3 linked regions of the Schizosaccharomyces pombe genome follow. The gene in region 2 interacts genetically with the main gene of each other region. Each region holds a gene or a part of one and is shown on either strand. Other genes may lie near its edges. The genes, in order: irc6, ksg1 and xlf1.

What was found.
Region 1: mutations in ksg1 (region 2) and irc6 together harm fitness less than expected from each alone (positive genetic interaction), as found in Schizosaccharomyces pombe (one large-scale study listed by BioGRID).
Region 3: mutations in ksg1 (region 2) and xlf1 together harm fitness more than expected from each alone (negative genetic interaction), as found in Schizosaccharomyces pombe (one large-scale study listed by BioGRID).

Annotation. Positions count from the first base shown.
Region 1 is NC_003424.3:2,463,339-2,467,928, reverse strand, and holds irc6 (recombination protein Irc6), read right to left. Parts: upstream 2,705-4,590; 5' UTR 2,582-2,704; coding exon 2,524-2,581; exon of another isoform or gene 2,484-2,523; coding exon 2,094-2,483; exon of another isoform or gene 2,052-2,093; coding exon 1,860-2,051; exon of another isoform or gene 1,817-1,859; coding exon 1,716-1,816; 3' UTR 1,435-1,715; coding exon of another isoform or gene 670-1,434; 3' UTR 501-669; downstream 1-500. Other genes in the region: SUMO-targeted ubiquitin-protein ligase subunit Rfp1, read left to right, coding at 670-1,434; mRNA-decapping complex catalytic subunit Dcp2, read left to right, coding at 2,978-4,590.
Region 2 is NC_003421.2:2,101,989-2,110,231, forward strand, and holds ksg1 (serine/threonine protein kinase Ksg1), read right to left. Parts: upstream 4,303-8,243; 5' UTR 4,271-4,302; coding exon 3,698-4,270; intron 3,589-3,697; coding exon 2,383-3,588; 3' UTR 1,950-2,382; downstream 1-1,949. Other genes in the region: Swr1 complex subunit Swc5, read left to right, coding at 1-412; diphthine synthase Dph5, read left to right, coding at 599-858, 1,144-1,373, 1,417-1,548, 1,597-1,826. UniProt on the Schizosaccharomyces pombe protein: Involved in the control of sexual development and cell growth under stressed conditions. Phosphorylates AGC kinase gad8 at 'Thr-387', activating gad8 kinase activity and promoting sexual development.
Region 3 is NC_003421.2:921,685-928,318, forward strand, and holds xlf1 (XRCC4-like factor xlf1), read right to left. Parts: upstream 3,408-6,634; 5' UTR 3,253-3,407; coding exon 3,097-3,252; intron 2,984-3,096; coding exon 2,528-2,983; downstream 1-2,527. Other genes in the region: EKC/KEOPS complex subunit Cgi121, read left to right, coding at 1-262; skb5 (Shk1 kinase-binding protein 5), read left to right, coding at 1,385-1,807; swt1 (RNA endoribonuclease), read left to right, coding at 6,306-6,634.

The sequences.
Region 1 (4,590 bases), on a different chromosome or scaffold from region 2:
TCTTTGTTAATGTCGCTCGCTTTTGATGCTGGTCTAAAAGCAGTGTTATCCATTATTTGATTTATCATATTTATACTCAAAAAAATTCAAGACAGGAACTTGATATTCAAGCGCTGATGTTCCAATTACTCATTTGTGAAAGTTTAACTTCAGAATCTAGCGGATTTAATAAATACAATCCTAATTCTTCAACAATTGTACTATCAAATATCGTCTAGTATTTTAAATTCATTTTCTGTGCTTTAATAAAAAATCCATATCGTCTACTAGAGGCATATTTTTTTGGTTCTTCTTGCTAAATTAAGCTCGTAAAATTCCTCTATTCGCCATATCTTCTTTGGCGTTTGATCTTCTCAGTAAATTATCACATAAGGTCATTTCCTTTTTATAAAGATAATGTGTAAACAAAGAAATGCGACTTCTAATTTACGTTTCTTTACTAGCCATTAGTTTATAAATAATAAAGCATACTGGACATTGCCTTAAAAATGCACCGAACTGTTGGTCTGCGGTATTTTGATATACAGCAATACATTAGAGCTTTATATTAAATAATACCGTTTCGTTAATATATGCAAGGCCAAAATATATACAAATAAATCGACTTAATTTTTTGCCCGTTGTCAATTACTTGACAGGAAACAATTGTGTATCTTTTTTCACACATCAATGCAATTTAATGGAAGCAATGGAATAGATGAAAGCAGTGTAATTGATTTGACGAGATCACCTTCTCCACCAGTCGAAACTTCTATTTCTTCAACAAATATCATTGATTTGGATGCTATTCCTGATGACAGCTTTCCATCATCTCCTGTTCTAAGTCCTCGAAGAAGGCGTATGAACCGGAGAAGGAATGAACGGTCTCGTAACTTTCCTTCAAATCATTTATCGTATTTGGAAGACATGATTTACTTAGGTCCTCAGGTGTCCACTCGTCGTTCTTCTTCACGTCGAGATTTGATGGGAATGATTGCCAGGACATTTCCTGAGTTTAGTTCTGTTAATTCCTTATCCCCTTCTCTTTTCCAGTTGATTGTGAACCGAATGAGATTTGACGCTATACATCCAGAATGGACTAACGGTTCAGACGACGAATATTTCTCTAACCATTTTGAAGAATCATATGATGATTTTACTTCTTCTTTAGAAAATATAAAACAGTCTTACAAGCCTCCAGGCCCTCCAAAATCTGGATTTACTAGAAGCTTTAACAATGATACATTGATGGTTTGTCCAAGATGTCAGGAACCATTAGGAACATCCAAAAGCAAAGAGAAATCTGCATTATGGGCAACAAAGTGTGGTCACGTCTATTGTGGCTCTTGTGCAAAAGTTTTGAAAACCAGTAAACGATCTCAGTCAAAATGTCTAGTGAATGACTGTGGCCGTTATTTAAATACGAAAAATGCCATGTGGGAATTATTTTATTGACGAACCTTGTACATTGAAAATGTAGTCCATTGTGTTGGATTTATAATGTCTATAATAATGAAATACGACCAAAATTATCACAATTTGTGACTGAGCTTTACTTACGAATTTTTTTTAAGTTGCTAATAGGTCCTCTTTCAATACAGCAGATTTAGATTTTAGTAAAAAATACTTTGATAAAACTTAATTGAACCTTTCTTGCAAACTCAAATAGTTATTATACATCAATTTGTGCTCCAGCGACAACATGTATTCTCCGGATACGAACAAAGGCCTTGTTTCTACAGCGATTCATAATCATTTTCCTCGAATTCATCGCCTAACAATTTTTCTAAAAGATTTAAAGCCTTGGCCTTTTTCTCATTTTTTTCCAGGTCAGCATCTAAATTTCGTTGTTAGTTTAGTCGACTCAAGGAGTTACCAACCTCTAATTTGGTTCATTTCTTTCATCAAATTATCCAGATCCGTCGATTGCATGTCTGGACTTCCTTTGAATCGTTCCGGGAGATAGAAATCTCCGGCATCATCCTTTTCTTCCGAGAAACTTTTATCAACTTGTGACAAGTTCCATTCGCAGCAATCGAGAATTTCTCGAACACGGTCCAGTCCTACTTTCTCTAAAGAGACTTGTTAATAAATAGAAGATTGGTTGACTTTACCATTGAATTCATTCACTCCTTCCTCGCTGATAGAAATATATTCTGGGGTAAACACATCAGGTGGTTCTAGTAATTTTTCATCTGACATGTGCAACCCAATTACCGGAATCTCTAGCTGTAGTTTATCTATAAAATTTTTAAAAAGAGACCACTCAGCTTCATCAAAACTTCGAAAAGTATATACAATGGCACCTAAGCTATCAATAACTTCCTTCGCTTCTTCAGAACTATAAGCATCCAAAGTTTCAGCTAAATTAGAATATTCTTCAATCCAAATACCAACCGAAGCTTCAAAATATTTATTTCTGATATTATACTTATGAATCAAGCCAGAATGATCATTGTTAAATGCCTCGTCATCTAACCCCTTCGGTAAAGAACCCGTCAAAGCTTTTCAATTAGTAATTGCAAATAGAACACTAATATTTACCCTTAATAAAATCTAGCTTTCCAGAATTAGAGCGACCTATAACCAAAATAACTCGCATATGATTTTATGTACTTAGCAAAAATTAATTCGCTTTTTTATATTTTCAATCAGTTCTGTAGAATATTAAACAAGTTTTTGGTGGATAAATAAATTCTCGAAAGACCTAAAGGTAAGGCAAATTGTGATTTTAACTACAGTCTAACAGTTTAATGAAACAAGGATTGAGCAATAGTATAGCGCAGTGTGATACATTCCTAAATCAATAATGGTTTAGTTTATCACTAACGAAGGTTGGTACGTAATTTTACGTGTCCCTAACTCTGTGTTATACGCACACGCATAAATGGCTTTAAATACCAAGACGCACAAAAATTAAAGTTGACGAATTTGTCGTGCTTTGGAGTGACTTAGAATTTTAAATGCAAACAATAGACTACTATATATTAAAAGAAATATGTCGTTCACAAATGCCACGTTTTCGCAAGTGCTGGATGATTTATCAGCTAGATTTATCTTGAATTTACCAGCAGAGGAGCAAAGTAGCGTTGAACGACTTTGTTTTCAAATCGAACAAGCTCATTGGTTTTATGAAGATTTTATACGTGCGCAAAACGATCAGTTGCCATCACTAGGTTTGCGTGTTTTTAGTGCAAAGCTTTTTGCTCACTGTCCTTTATTGTGGAAGTGGAGTAAGGTCCATGAAGAGGCGTTTGATGATTTTTTACGATATAAGACTCGTATTCCTGTCCGCGGAGCTATAATGCTTGATATGTCAATGCAGCAATGCGTACTTGTCAAAGGATGGAAAGCATCATCCGGCTGGGGATTTCCTAAGGGAAAAATTGATAAAGATGAATCTGATGTTGATTGTGCTATTCGTGAAGTATATGAAGAAACAGGCTTTGACTGTTCTAGCCGTATAAATCCTAATGAATTTATTGATATGACTATACGTGGACAAAACGTTCGATTGTATATTATTCCTGGAATATCTTTGGATACAAGATTTGAATCTCGTACAAGAAAAGAAATTAGTAAAATTGAATGGCATAATCTTATGGATCTTCCTACATTCAAAAAAAATAAACCTCAGACCATGAAAAACAAATTTTACATGGTAATCCCATTTTTGGCGCCATTGAAGAAATGGATTAAGAAGAGGAATATTGCCAATAACACTACCAAAGAAAAGAACATTTCCGTTGATGTTGATGCTGATGCTTCTTCCCAACTGCTTTCTCTTTTGAAATCTTCGACAGCACCTTCAGACCTTGCTACTCCGCAACCTTCAACTTTTCCTCAGCCACCAGTTGAATCACATTCTTCTTTTGACATTAAACAGAAAATCTTGCATTTATTAAATGAAGGAAATGAACCTAAATCTCCAATTCAACTTCCTCCTGTGTCGAACCTTCCTCTTAATCCCCCCATTCAAAGCAGCAATTCTCGTTTATCGCATGATAATAACAGTTTCGATCCTTTTGCTTACCTTGGATTGGATCCAAAAAATCCATCTGCTTCTTTTCCAAGAGTTGTTTCTCAAAACAACATGTTAACTAATAAACCTGTGTTGAATAATCACTTTCAGCAGAGTATGTATTCAAATTTACTTAAAGACCAAAATTCTGTTCAGCATTTATTTGCCGCTAGCGACATGCCTTCTCCAATGGAATTGCCCTCGCCAAGTACTGTTTATCATCAAGTTTTTTATCCTCCCACTTCGACTTCCGTTAGTTCCTATGGTTTAGGCAAAACTCCGCAACCAGCATACGGATCTTCTTCTCCCTATGTAAATGGTCATCAGACTCAACAAATTTCTTCTCTTCCTCCTTTTCAATCTCAGACTCAGTTTTTAGCTCGAAATTCCGATAACTCAGGTCAATCATATAATTCGGAAGGAGACTCAAATTCAAAAAGGTTATTAAGTATGCTCTCTCAGCAGGATACGACACCCTCATCTTCTACGTTAAGCAAAGAGGCAAATGTTCAATTAGCGAATCTTTTTTTGACGCCTAATTCATTAGAGACAAAGAAATTTTCTGACAATAGTCAAGGAGAGGAAATATC
Region 2 (8,243 bases):
TGATAAATTAATCCCTCAACAATCAAATGAATCCGAGGCAATTGAGAAACCGGTACAGTCTACAACCGAAGTGGAACTGAAGACTAATGAACTTGCAGAATCGAATTCCTCAGTTGCCGTAGAAGGGGATGAAAATTCCTATGCTGAAACACCTAAGAAGAAACACTCATTGATAAGGAAACGCCGTAAATCTCCACTTGATAGCTCGTCAGCCCAAAAGGTTTTAAAGAAAAACAAGCTAAACACTCTTGAACAAGCACAGCAAAATTGGTCAAAGTATATTAAGGAACAGGATATTCAAGATGAGCTTCGGATCGCCAATAAAGATGGTTATGTCGAGCGCCAGGAATTCTTAGCAAAAACCCGTGCTGCACATGAAGAAAAAATTCGAGAGATGAAAAAGTTGCCGTAACAAAATGGTTTAAAACTTAAAACTAGTATTTTTTTTAATGAAGAACCCCTTTTGTCTAAGACACCAGCCGGCAGCATTGAACGAGTCCATGTCGATTTTGCGTTTCTTCAACTACTTCACCTCCTCCAAGCCAGGAAGTCGTTGTCTTTCTAAAACTTCATTTGAAAATATCCAGATATTATTTAAATGTTTTATTTAATTGGATTAGGATTATTTGATGAAAAGGATATTACCTTAAGAGGCCTAGAAACAGTAAAAAAATGTCAGCGTATATATCTTGAGGCATATACGTCCATTTTGCTCGTTCAGAAGGAAAAATTAGAAGAACTTTATGGTAAAGAGGTTATCCTTGCTGATCGTGAAATGGTAGAGAGCAGTAGTGATGAAATCTTGAAAGACGCTGACAATTGTGATGTTGCAATGCTTGTTGTTGGTGATCCGATGGGGTATGTTTACTTGAAAGTACATGTTCCTTTTATTTATCTTTTTTTTATTTACTTTGAGAAATTTGACTCAGCTGTTTATTACAGGCTTTTAGCCCTTACGACAGCATCTCTCAGTTATTAAAAAAGCTTTGGTTTTTGCGAATTGTCTCTTTAAAGAACATTCAGTTTGTCATCGAACCCTATGATCTGTAAAGATTTAATTGTAGTGAATACTAATGACTCTTTAATTTGAGAACCCGTGCTTTTAATAATCGTTTATTTTTTATTGTATTACTAATTGTTTAGAGCTACCACTCATGCTGATCTAGTTATAAGAGCTCGTGAGCTTAAGATTCCTGTTCGCATGATACACAATGCCTCCATTATGAACGCTATTGGTGCATGTGGTTTACAACTCTACAAGTTTGGTCAAACAGTCAGTCTTGTCTTCTTCGAAAACAATTACCGTCCTCAAAGTTTCTATGACCACATTAAAGAGAACGTTAGTTTGGGACTTCATACCTTAGTTTTGCTGGGTAAGTTAATAGATTATAGTAGTTGGTGTTCTGACAATAAAAGATATCAAGGTAAAGGAGCAAAGCTGGGAAAATCTTGCTCGAGGCAGGAAAGTATACGAACCTCCTCGCTATATGTCTGCTAGTTTGGCTGCTCAGCAGATGTTGGAAGTCGAAGAGGATCGTCAAGAAAATAGTACGTTCATTTTAAAATGTTTTTCTATTAATTGTTAACCACCCTTAGTATGCACACCAGACTCTTTATGTGTGGCTGTTGGAAGAATGGGTTCCGATGATCAAGTTATATTTGCAGGCACATTGCAAGAGTTAGCTGAGCATGATATAGGTCCTCCATTGCACAGCGTGGTTCTCGTCGGTAGAGATGTTCACGATTTAGAATTAGAATTTCTACGTGCGTACGCAGTCAATCTCGAGAACTTTGATCGTGTCGCAAAAACATACTTGGAGAAGTAATTCATTATTTATCATACTAGTAAATTGATGCTTGAAGTTTTTTTTTCTGATATTAAGCGAAACCTAATTTTTATGTACAAGTCATACTTGCATAATTAACTTAATCTGTAGATTAATCATAAATTGAGAGAATGTACAACTGGCTTTTGGGAATAATTTCTTTAAATTTTTTTACTACGTAGGTAGAGGTATATTAACTAGTAAACGGTGAAATGTTCTTGGATCGATAACTTTTACCATTTTAACATTTTAAGGCTAAGGTAAAAAATATAAAATAAATAGATCCATAATAAGAATAAGCAAATAAAATCAATTGACCGTTAATAACAAAATACAGAAATCATACGGCAATCTAATTTTGTAATCACACTGAAGGATCACGGATATAAAGATTTTTTTTCGAATTAAACAACGAACGTAAGAGAAAAACTTAAAAAGAATTTCTTGAAACATCAATAAGGTCGTAAGAAAATTAATGCAGAACAGAACAGAAAAAAGAGTGATAGAATAAAAAGTGAGGGGATGGATGGAAGTGTTCATAGACATAAAGGATAGATTAGACAGCACTTCTAGCAATGCTTCTTGAAAAGCTGGTAACAGAATGATTACCGAATGGAAGAGAAATAGAGCTAGCCTTATCTAGAAGCTCAACCCAAGCAGAAGCCGGTCCATTCGGGTCTTCAAACGACCAGGATTTTGTTGGAGTCTCAACTACCCAGCCATGTTCATTGTTTTTTACCATCCGACAACGCATGCCTACACTCTTAATAGGTATTTCTTCTTTAACTGTTTTTCGCCCTTCACCGTCCGAGGCAACACACAGGTATCGACCAAAATTTGTAAGTATAAAGGTCCGAGGTTTCCTTTTTCGAAAAAGACTGGAGAAAAAGCGAAAGGCATCATTTCCATTGATACCAGACATACTATAAACATTGAGGGTTCCAATTTTTGAGATTTTTTCATCGTCTTGAAGAATACTCGACCATTCCTTGTTTTCCTCCTCAAGGTTGGATTGACACGGCAATAGAGTGCCTCGGTTAAAAGTACCAACCGGAGAGGGTGCAGCATTGGTGGATGCTGAAACCATCGATGGAACACCAAGAGGCGAGGTCAAATCACCATTTTCGTGTTTGTTAGATGCATTAGGAACGGAAAGGCTGAGGACGCTAGTATGACCAAAAGGTTTAAGACGGGGAGGAGGAAGTTCCCAAAGGGTATTATCAAATTTGATACCATTAAAAAACGGATGCTGGTGTATTTCATCAACAGTTAAGCGATCTTTAGGATCTAGAACTAGCAGTTTTTTAATCAAATCAGAAGCGACATCTGATATGTCAGGTGGTATCTCATAACTCAAATGAAGAATACTTTGGAATGTCAAATATTCATTTCCTGCTACAAAAGGGGGTTTGCCAGCTAGCATTTGGAAAAGAATGCAACCAAACGCCCAAATATCGGAAGCCGTACCAGCAATTTTATCACTTAAAACTTCAGGAGATACATAACGAGCAGTTCCTACAAACGATCGAGAATGAGCCTGTGGTTTGTCAGCATGGTGTGTGTCTTCTTCATGACTGCCATGTGAAGAGTTTAATATTTTTGCTGAACCAAAGTCGGTAATTTTTGTACGCATATTATCATCCAGCAAAATATTTTCGGGCTTCAAGTCACGGTGAATCACTCCTCGTCCATGCATATAGTCTATTGAGTCAACGATAAGTGCAGCATAATATTGTGCACATATTTCGTTAAATCGTCCCAACTAAATTATGTGTAAGCAAAAAATAAAACATTTAATAAGAAAAAAGACAAGATTGTAATAATCAGTAAGCTATCCATCATCAAGCTGCATGAACATTATTTATACATACCTTATTGATATAATCCAACAGTTCACCATTTCGAGCAAGACTCAAAACAAAATACAAATTGTGAGCATCTTGGAAAGTATAAAATAGCTTAATAAATCCAGGATGCTTAGAGAGGATGCACAAAGCTTCTTTTTCAATGTTGACGTATTTTTCCTTTTTTTCCTTGATAATATGTCTTTTATCCAACACCTTAATAGCATATTCTCTTTTTGTTGAGTTTTCGGTAGCTGTTAATACAGTACTGTATGATCCTTCTCCAAGGATTTCGCCAAATTTAAAATCCGAAACTCGTTTTATGTTAGGAGTCGATGCACCGCTAGACGGATTTGGAGTAGAGATATGTGGGACTGCAGAGGGAATCTTCGGCGATGAATCGATCTGAGACGTTGACTCATTTGGTGTAGTATTTAAAGCATTAGACTGCGGGATGGCACTATTTTGCGTCTTTGGTAATGAAGCTCGGTTTAGTTTTTCACTTGATCCATGATCAAAACTAAGGTCGGATTCGCTTTGAGTATCATTTTCTGCATCTTCTGATGCTTCAGTTTCATTCGGATTGTGCGTATTTCGCATAACCAATATCTGGTGTGAAGAGAGTACTGGGTAGGTGAATCAGTGTCAGTAAACTACGAATTGACGGCAATGTCATCAAAAGAAAATTGCACATATTCGGTAAAATTAGTGCTTATAACTGCAAGTATACAACTATTGTACTATTGTTATATAAGATTTTGCTATCCGGGTTATGATTTGCATCGTTGTGAGTGCGAAAATTAATATTGCATGGACATTTTAGATAAACTAAATATTCATTCATTTGATTTAGATCATGCTTTTTTTAGTAACTATAAGTTTATTTATTTTTTTAAGGAGCCTAGAGAAGTAGTTCATCAAGGTAATGATTTATATTACTATGTGAATCAGCGCTGAGTATACACAGTCATACGCAAATTCTTAATGGAGTAGAGAAAATCATTACATAAAAGTAAAAAAATTGTCAAACCAAGTATTTTCGTCTTGGCTGGTTGAATAGCATTACCTTCGGGTGTGGAATTCAATATGATTTAATTTCAATAACTTAAAAGATCACTTAGGTTTTAATGAATAACTCAGTTTATATACGAAGAGCATTAGAAGCTTTTATACCAGAATCGTAGCTGAATATGCGGGAAACATATTTTACTTGAATTTCAACTTACCGTATCAATTTTACAGAGAGAGAAAATTATGCACCATTCAGTTTATAAATATGAATTATTTGTTCAGCACAGAATCAAAAATAAAGTGCCATTGTTTAGAATTGCATTTTCCACTACACCTAATAGGAACAAAGTGTGTTTGATTTGTTTCAATTTAGTGTTGTAAACAATTCATTTTGGAGATATAACATAAAGAAAAGGGTTGGTATGAATGCCAATATCTTGCTAGCGAATTCATATATTTTGCTTACGAACAAATCTTCATTAAAGGACAACCAACGCAAGATTTAACTGAAGGATACCATCTTTATTTTAACTATTCTATAAATCAATTTTTGAGCCTTTTTTTTCTGGGGTATATGCGTGAGAGAAAATGAAGTAATTACGATATAGTACATTAAATGAGTTTTTTGTCCGTCAATATCCTTTTTAAAAAATTAGTTAGTAAAATAAAGAATGATAATGAAGTTTTACAAAAAAAAATTTGTTTATTGAGTATTATCTGGGTGAAAAACAAAGAAAATATAAAATTATAACTGGAATTAAAGAAACAAGACGTTCACAAACATAAATTAGCAAATTCAGAAAAAATTAAAAAAATTTAATAATAATGACATTTTACTATCAGCCCCCTCTGTTTATTTAAAATATTATATTTTTGGAAGGCATGTATACCAAAATATTTAGTATCTAATTTTTAAGTTGTGATGTAATAAATCATATTCCTATAATACAACGATTAACTTAGATGATTTAATTTTCAAAAATTTTTCATATTCATTTTCATTCGCCTGGACGGATATGAAATATATAAACTCCATTTGTCAGAAGATTAAACCATGTGAAATTGTGAAGGTAGCGCATTTTACACTTATTGTGAAAGACTGGAAATTGGTTGTTTTCGTTTCCAAATTGCAATTTTGTTTTTGTTAAGCCACTGACCTTGAAACATAATAATATTCGTGTAACACACAAAAAGAATCTAAATTTGGTATCATAAGTCGCAAGTCATAATTAAACTATCAAAAAGATCGAGTAAATAAAAGTAGTCCAACTGTAACAAAAGGATATTTTCAAATGATGAAAACTAGAGAATTCGAAATCGTAAATAAATGAGGATGTTTCGAATGTTTTTAATTACAGCATTCGGTTATATCAACCTTATTTAAAGTTCGCTTAAGCAGTCATTAATTCAATATTTATGGTCTTTATCCTTAAAGCAACTTTTCAAAATTTTCAAATATATAATGATATATCCCTTTCGGATTTCGATTCTCTTTATGTATATAGTCTTCCTTTCAACCAGGTCACTTTTAAAGAAGCAAGTGGTACAAATACGGTTTCCTAACGATAACGCTGTTTAAAGCATAGGAAATGAAAGAAGTGTCGTTGTGCGGTTTTACTGTCAGCTACACACTTTATTATCTACTTTAACGATACGTAAATTGCATTAATTCTTACCTGTAATCTATTATATTATAGATGCAGATTAACGAGTTCTTTTATGTAAGTATTCTTATAAATGAGTTATCCTGTTACCTATCCACTAAAGGTAGCTTAAAGTTAAACTGAGGACTAAGCCTCAATAGGAGCCGTATCTATATACTACAATAACACGCGCTTTAGTAAACTATCAACGAGGTCTTTTTTAACGTTGTATCATAGATGATATGATGTGTAAATAAAACATGTGACATATAGTGATACGCAACGTAGTGTGCCATATCGTAGTGCAGTATTCCTGACACATGTTATTACTATAACAAACCATCGTTCTGAATATTTTATTATGCTATTCATTATTTTGTAAACATTAATTTTGTTTGAATTGAACCATTAAACAAAAAGAAAAAATGATAATTAAGCTTGATTCATTAAGAATCAAGATGAAGGAGAAATGAATGCAATAAACGACAATGAATTTGTAAATTTAACAAGGCGGAACAACGAGTTTTTCGATTTCATTAGTTGATTTTAAGTTGTCGTAAACAAGTTAAACCATTATTGTTTGTGACTTGAGTACCATTAAAAAAGACACATAATTAGACTCGCATACATAATAAATAAAGACTTCGGTCCTCAATGCACATTATCCAACATCGTAGAATGCATTGGTTGGCAATTTTTGATAACTGGAAGAATAAGTTAAGCATATATTCCATAAACTTATAAAGGAAGAGGATGATTAAAGAATGTTGGTGCTTATTTTTAAAAAAACGCCGCAGCTTCTCTGCGTTGATGATTTTCGTAAAGAGGTTTTCCAACTGTAGCGACAACTACATTAATAACGCAATTATACTTCGCTTTCAACTTCCATTTCCCCCAAGGGAATGTCATTATTATCGTTGGCACCTCTAATCGCATTTCCTATCCGCCCACTTGCATTTCCTATACCTTCTAATCAGGTAAGTAAAAAATAATTCATAGAGTTTTTTTGAATACACATACCTAATATAAAACCTATAACATTCCCAGTAGTGTTGCGCATCCTCTTGAGTACACCTGGACGTTCTGATATGGTTAGAGTAAATTACAGGAATATATAACGAACCCATTTCGTAAAGAAAAAGAGCACAAACCCTTCGATTTCGTAGCCTCTCCATCCGAAATATTTACCAAATAAAGACATTGAACCGTTTACTAATAGTGCGATAATGCCATGTATACCCAACACTTGTAGCATCCCAGATAATGCACGGCAAAGTGTCCAAATTGGAATACAAACTGTATGTTAGCGTTTAGCAAGATAATTTCACTTACCAAGCAATAAAATGAAAAATAAAGCAGCCGAAATACTGCATGTGGAACAGATGAGTGCCTTATTTAAGTTTAGTCTACCATCCTTGACGCAACCAAAGAGTATAAAACAAATGACTACCCATGCGAACCAGATTGTAACCACTAAATCTTTTTTTGAGTTATACAAGCCGACCGCAATCACCTTTACACATTGTGCCAAGGAAATTACAGTCACCTTTATACATTGTGCCAAAAAAATTACAGTTACTTTGACTGCCTTGATCCAAGTTTCATAGAAGCCTAATGAGTTAGTGAATGAACGTAAGAATAGTCCTATCGTGTCACTTACACCATAAAGAAATAAAAATCATTAGGCAAATAGCATACCACACTCCAAAATATACCCATTCATCTTTGCCATAATCTTTAAAGAGAGCGTCCTTATACGTTAGATAACAAACTGCGGGTACGTTTAGCACAAAGATTGAAATGAATGATAAAAATGCTTTTTTCAACGGAGAGGTAGAAGAATTATCTGCCGTCCCGGAAGAATGGTTTTCTCTATGTGTGTTAGGAGGATTATTTACAAGTGCGTGATCTGTTTGAAT
Region 3 (6,634 bases), 1.2 Mb from region 2:
TAGTGCGTTCCGACAATTCAGCATGACAAAAAAATCTAAAAACATTGTAGTGGTAAAAATTGATAGCAAACTTACAGAAGAAGAAGAATTTGAGCGCTTGGACAAACTTGTGGAAGGTAATAGGGTCGAATTTTCTGACGAAGAGTTACAAAAATTAATAGACTTCAAGGTGTTAAAAAAGAATTACAAATTGGATCCCTCTACGCTTGAGAATCCTTTGGCCTCTATATTATCTTCGATAGCTCTACGTGGTTATTCTTAAAAACATATGTTCTAGCAAATCTGATCTTTTGTCAATGTTTCACAATTGATTTGACTATTTTTCTATGCGGCTTGAATGATAATGATGAGAGTTCCAAATGGAACGTTGTGTGGATTCTTCTATTCCTTATAATTTTTTCCTCTCTCAAATGACTGTACAAACTATTTAGCAAGCACCTACATAATCAATTTTTGATTTACGAATTGGTAAAGGATGGCACGTAAAGTTATGCCCTCTGGTTTGGTTCAGTTTTATGATCTCTTGACAGTTTTACTAAAGTAACTAAGGGCATTTCATTACGATTATCTGTTTCGATACTTTTACCTAGGGAATGCTTTAGTGTTATTTGACATCATGTTTTGTTCTTGTGCAATATTTTTTGCTCAGGTCTATTGGCGATGAATTACTATATGGTGGATCTCAGTGCAAAAAGTTTACCATTATGTGAATAGTTATTAAAAGTTTAATGGGATTATAAATTAATGGGTTTTTTATTGCGCACCTTATGCTCCTGTTATAAAGAAAAGCAGGTCGCAAAGGTAAGAACTATTTTTATACAACAATAAAGGTTTTTACATCGTATGTTTTACAATTAACTGGCAGCTCTTTGTCAAAATTGTTTATTTACGGATTTAACTTGCCTTCTTGCGGTATTGACTGCTAAGCCGGAATTTGTGATATCAAGCCATCCGTTTCCCAGTCACGCGAAAACTCTTCCTTATGGAAATTTCATTTTAACAAGTACAAATCTGTTAAAACTACATTCATATAATCATATGCAGGCAGCCGATTAGAGAAAAACTAAATTTCTTAGGCAGAATTGTCATTATCCGTCAATACCGCGTTTTTTTTATTTTCCGCTTTGATTTTTTTTATCATTCTTTTTGGTTCTTTTATTTTTGTTTTTATTTGTTTTGTTTTCTTTTTTTCCTTTTCAAAAGTCATTTGAAGACAAAAACTCAACGTTGAAGAGAGCATTTGTTCATCTGTTGACTTTTCGCCAATACACCTGTTTTTTTATGGACTTGCTAAGTATAGTGTAAATTTAACGCTGTCGTTGATCCGTATGATTTCTTTTGATTAATTTAAATCGTTATATGTGACACTAGCAATTTTTGCTTCATGGCGGAAGAGACTGAAGAGGATTATTTAGTTGTGGGTCGTGATTACTTGTACCCCCCAGATCATGAACTGCACTATGGGTTTCATGCTCGTGTGATTGAAGAGGAGGAGGAGCGATTTGTAGATGATACCTTTGATGAAACAATCGAAGGATCGGATGACTCCGAATCAATAGATGATACGGAAGTATTTTACGATGCTGAAGAATCTGAAAGCACTCACCCTTCTGCTTCTTTCAACGTCCTTGCTGACGCCGTTGCGCTTTATGATTTCGAGCCCCTCCATGATAATGAACTCGGTTTTACTACTGGTCAGAGACTTTGTATTTTGTCGGAATCCAGCGATGGTTGGTTGATTGCATACGATGATGCCTCAGGAAGAAGCGGGCTTGTTCCTGAGACGTTTGTTAAATTAGAGGTATAAAAGAGCGTTGAATTGAACCCTTTTTACTTTTTCTTTTTGTCAAATTGATTTTAAAATGTTATTCCTTATTTTATGTTCCAAGATTTTCTGGATCCTCTCCTTTATATATAAGAATCCGAAGTGTTACGGGAAAAAAATTCGGATTGTCACGCTTCTTATGAATATTATTTAAATGTACGCCTTTAAAGCAACTATCATACAATTCTCCTTTGGGTAAATAACTAACCTTGGGATGTGTCGTAACTTGGGACTTATTTTTGATTTGTTATAAGGATGAAATGAATGTTCTATCTTATGGACCTTACAAGAAAAACTATAATATTGTCAAATATAATCATATGAGATGAGTTAAGCTACATAAAACTCTTTGAAACTTTATTTTATATTATTGCAACCTTCTAATAACTTTACATCTTCTTATCCAAAGAAGAAGGGTTAGAATGTACCGTGTTTTACGGAAGTTCCATTCCCGTAGGGTTACAATGTGTTGCTAGAATAAACCGTAAGTCATAGTACATATAGAGGCCAATTCTGTAAACTTTTTTAAAGTCTATGGAAAACCCTCTATGTGTCTCCAATAGAGAACGGACATCTCTTTCTGATTAGTATATACGTTTTCATAGTCTCTTCATCCTGAGGTAAATTGTACAAAACGCTGTAGTTAAACATGTGATCGAGTTAAATAGATATCTTCATAGTTCAATATACCATTAGATTTTTTTAAACAAAATCATAACGAGTACGAGGTCGTTTTGGAGAAATAATATCTGCAAATGCTGAACGTTTTCTTGGTGTGGAAGGATTGGAAGACGAGGATCTTTCATTTAATGCTTCCTTGAACCAAGTCTTGTCATTCAATAAAGACTTTTGATCACGAATAATGGACATTAACGATCCTGGACTAGTGTCGGTTTCTGACTCGAATAAGTGATGATTGATAAGAGGAAACCATACCATCTTGGCAATCGTCTCTGGTGGAGTAAGCCAAAGGGTCCAATTCCATTCTAAGAAAATATCTTTAGCTATTTTTGAGGTACAGAAAATTTTTAAAGATCCCTCGTCATTTGAGCCTCGTAGTTGAATTCTACTTTCAGAAGAAACATTCACCAGCACTTCAGCCAGTACATCGACTAACGTTTCAAACGTTTGAAATGGATCGATAGGACATCTTTCGCTCTGTTTAAAAGTTAATATAACTCTTGGTTGAGAGAAAGGTGTTAATTTGGTTGCATTTATAACTGCTTTTCCCCTGAAAGCATAGTAGCAATGTAGTTGTTAACTAATCTTACCTCTGCCTGATTGACGATTTGATTGCGGCTACATGTACAGGACCAAACACGCACTAGGTCTGTAATATGAATGACTTGTACAGCCTCATTACTTTCTGCGTCGAAGCTAGCCTGTATAAAATGAAACCTGTGGCCACGTAGCTGCACCCAAGACATCAAGTATAAACAAATGCAATGTCTTGTTCAGTATCTCAAATTGATTATAACAGCAATTCAATTGAAAATATTAAAGCTAAATCACTAAAATAGAAGAAATAAGCTCAGCAATGGTCACAGTTGAGAATTCGAGTTTGCAAAGTAGTATTGGTATTGATGAGAAAATTAAACAACCGATATATGCCAGAGTAAACAATAACTATGCCAAGTTATTCTTTAAACTTTAGAATGTGAAAATTAGATCAATTGGAATGCTTTTGTAAAATATTGTCTAGTGGTTTGAAAGTAGCCAGCGAAAGACAACACAAACAAGGACAGAAAGGAACTACCAAGTAATTTGAGAGCTATTTTTTTTTGAAGCTTAATTTGAAAACGAAAAAATTATTAAGTAGATAAGAATGACTCCGTTCGGTTTTTTCTTCTGCTCACAGAATTTCGTGGACTAGGGGACATTTCAGCGGTATGTTCAGAAGAAGTATTGTTTCTAATTTGAGAAGAGATATCCATTCTGGATAACTTCAAGGCCCTCTTGTTCCGAAGATTGACCTACAATCATCATCCGTGTTTACATGTAGCTCTTATATTCTGCACAAGCGTGCTACTGTGTTTATATATATATATTTTTTCTAACTAAAAGTATATATATGTTTGCTATTGCTACTTCATTGTAACGTCAATGGTAAATGAAGAAGTATGTGATATAAAAACGCAAATTAATTATGCCTAACTCATTAACGACTACGAAACGTCTGAAGGTAAGAGGCAGGGAACCACATACAATGAATGTACATACTACTTCCAAAAGGATTTCGCATTGTTTGTTAGAAAGAGATGAAAATCAGAGCTCTTAGTTTTTTTGAAGCAATGTCATTTCTTCTTATAATTTAAACTAAAATCAGAGGTGTTCAACAAAAAGGTCTCGTGGCCCAATGGTTAAGGCGCTTGACTACGGATCAAGAGATTCCAGGTTCGACTCCTGGCGGGATCGACCTTTTTGTTAAATAATTTTTTTGGGTTTTTTTGAATAATTCAATTTGAAAATACACAACCGTTATTATTTATAAATTCGAGTGCAAAAAGGATGTATGAACTTAGAGGACATAGTCAGTATATACTGAGCGGGATTTACATTCCACAAATGAATTTCATCGACTACATTAACTACTCCTGATTTACATTATATATTACTAAATTACTAACTGTGTGTCTACGGCCATACCTAGGCGAAAACACCAGTTCCCGTCCGATCACTGCAGTTAAGCGTCTGAGGGCCTCGTTAGTACTATGGTTGGAGACAACATGGGAATCCGGGGTGCTGTAGGCTCCTTCTTTTTTATTTACTATTTGCTTGGCTTCTGCAGTTAACAATTAGGAAGATGTACATATACATAACAAGTTTGAAAGCACTTATCGAGATGATTTGCAATTACGAATCATGAAAACTACAGCAGAAGTTCACGGCTTCTCAGGCTACAACAAAGTTCTACTTCTCTGAGTGGATCATTTTTAACAAAGTTGATTAATTAATTTTTAAAGAAAAATAGATATTTTTCCTTTCCACGGGGCATTTCAAAGGAAAAAAGAATCTGAAATACACTTTAAGAAAGGAGTTTTTTTCTCCCCATCGTATTCAATTCGGCAATCAATGTAACTTATAAAAGAGACTCAGACTGAATCAAATTCGATGGGTGCAACTTTCAAATTATTCTAAAGGGTTCATGCCCTCTATTTATAGTAAAAAGAGCGAAGAAAAAATTTTTGAACACACGAATTTTACACACAAACTGCACAACGCTTTAAGTGTTTTTCTAATTTAAATTCTGATAAATAACAAATTTGAATGCATAAGCTCAATAGACTATTCCCTCTAGCTGGATCTAAAACTTTGACTTCTGAAACAAATGCACAAGAAACAGTAATATCATTCATTATTGTTATATTGTTATAACAAGGTTTGATTCATTGATTTTGTTAATTATTTTTATACAATGAAATAAACAGAACAAGATATTAACGAACAATTTATTTTACAAGTGTTTTGTTTAGAGAAATTAACAAACAAAAAGAAGAAATGATCACAAATAAAGTATTCGAGGATTGGGAGAATGACTATTTCTTAAAGACAGAACAATTAACCGATGGATCGTTTACTAAGGAGTCCTTATAATAATAAAATTTAATATCGCAAAATTCAGCGAACGCTCTAACTGGCACTAATTAGATTGATAAATGTAGTCAATTGGAGCTTTGTAAACTAATGAACAAACTTAGAAACCAACGGACGTTTATTTTAGTGCTTCTCGTACATACGATATATAGTAATATGTAACATCGCATAGTGTGTTGCTAAAATATCAGTTTTAACGAGAGTGCGATATACGTCTTTACTGAGCTTTATGGTGTCATTAATCGGGGTCGCTCTATAACAAACGCGTGAAACTAGGACATCAACAATCCATAAGTACTAGCGTATTGAGATAGTTTCTTTAGTATTTTAAATCTGACGCTTTATAAGTATTGCTTCTTTTTTACAGAAATTCTATTGTGCTCTGTCGTGGACGCTTTATAGAAAAACCGTGTATTAAGAAACAAATCACCAATTATAAGAATTTGCTCTACTATTGTTTAAATCTCTCTTCAAAACTGGGAATCGAGATATTATTTAATATCTGTTTCTACTTATTGAAGGTATGTAATATTTTTTAAGCGTTCATGCACAGTGTACGCAGGTAATTGCTTTGTTTATATGCACACATGCAATATAATAATACATTTGGCTAATATATACAAAATTAGACATCTTGCTTTTCTTCATTGTCCCAAAAAAAAATATGCTGCAAAATTGGTTTTTCCAAACTTCAATCATTGTGTGAACTCGAATATCAAGTAGGGTTTGTTTTATGTGATTGTTCAAGCCTTTCCTACTTTTAACTATTTTTATCTTTTATTTTTTCAGTTGATGCTTTCATATTAGTTCATCAATTTGAGTATTACTCGTTCATGTATCTGTATAGTAGACTGCACGTACAGTTGCTTTTTGTCACTTGCTAGCAATGGATCGAATGGAAATAGACGACCAGGCTGGCATAGATTTTGTCACTGAGTCCATCAACTCTGAACGTGCGCGTAACAGATGGTCAACTTCGCATATTCCTTCATTAAGTGAAATCAATCCCTCCTCTTTTCAATCTCCCTCGCCTTCTCCTTTTGCTTCCTCCACTTCTTTAGCTTCCAAACCGGCTCGCTACAGTAAACCTTTGGGGCTTTTTGTGCTTGATACAAATTTCCTTTTGTCGCATCTGAGCCTTTGTCAAAACCTTATTGAATTTCTTACAGCTCGTTGCCCTCGACTTGTTGTCGTACTACCATGGACGGTCCTTCA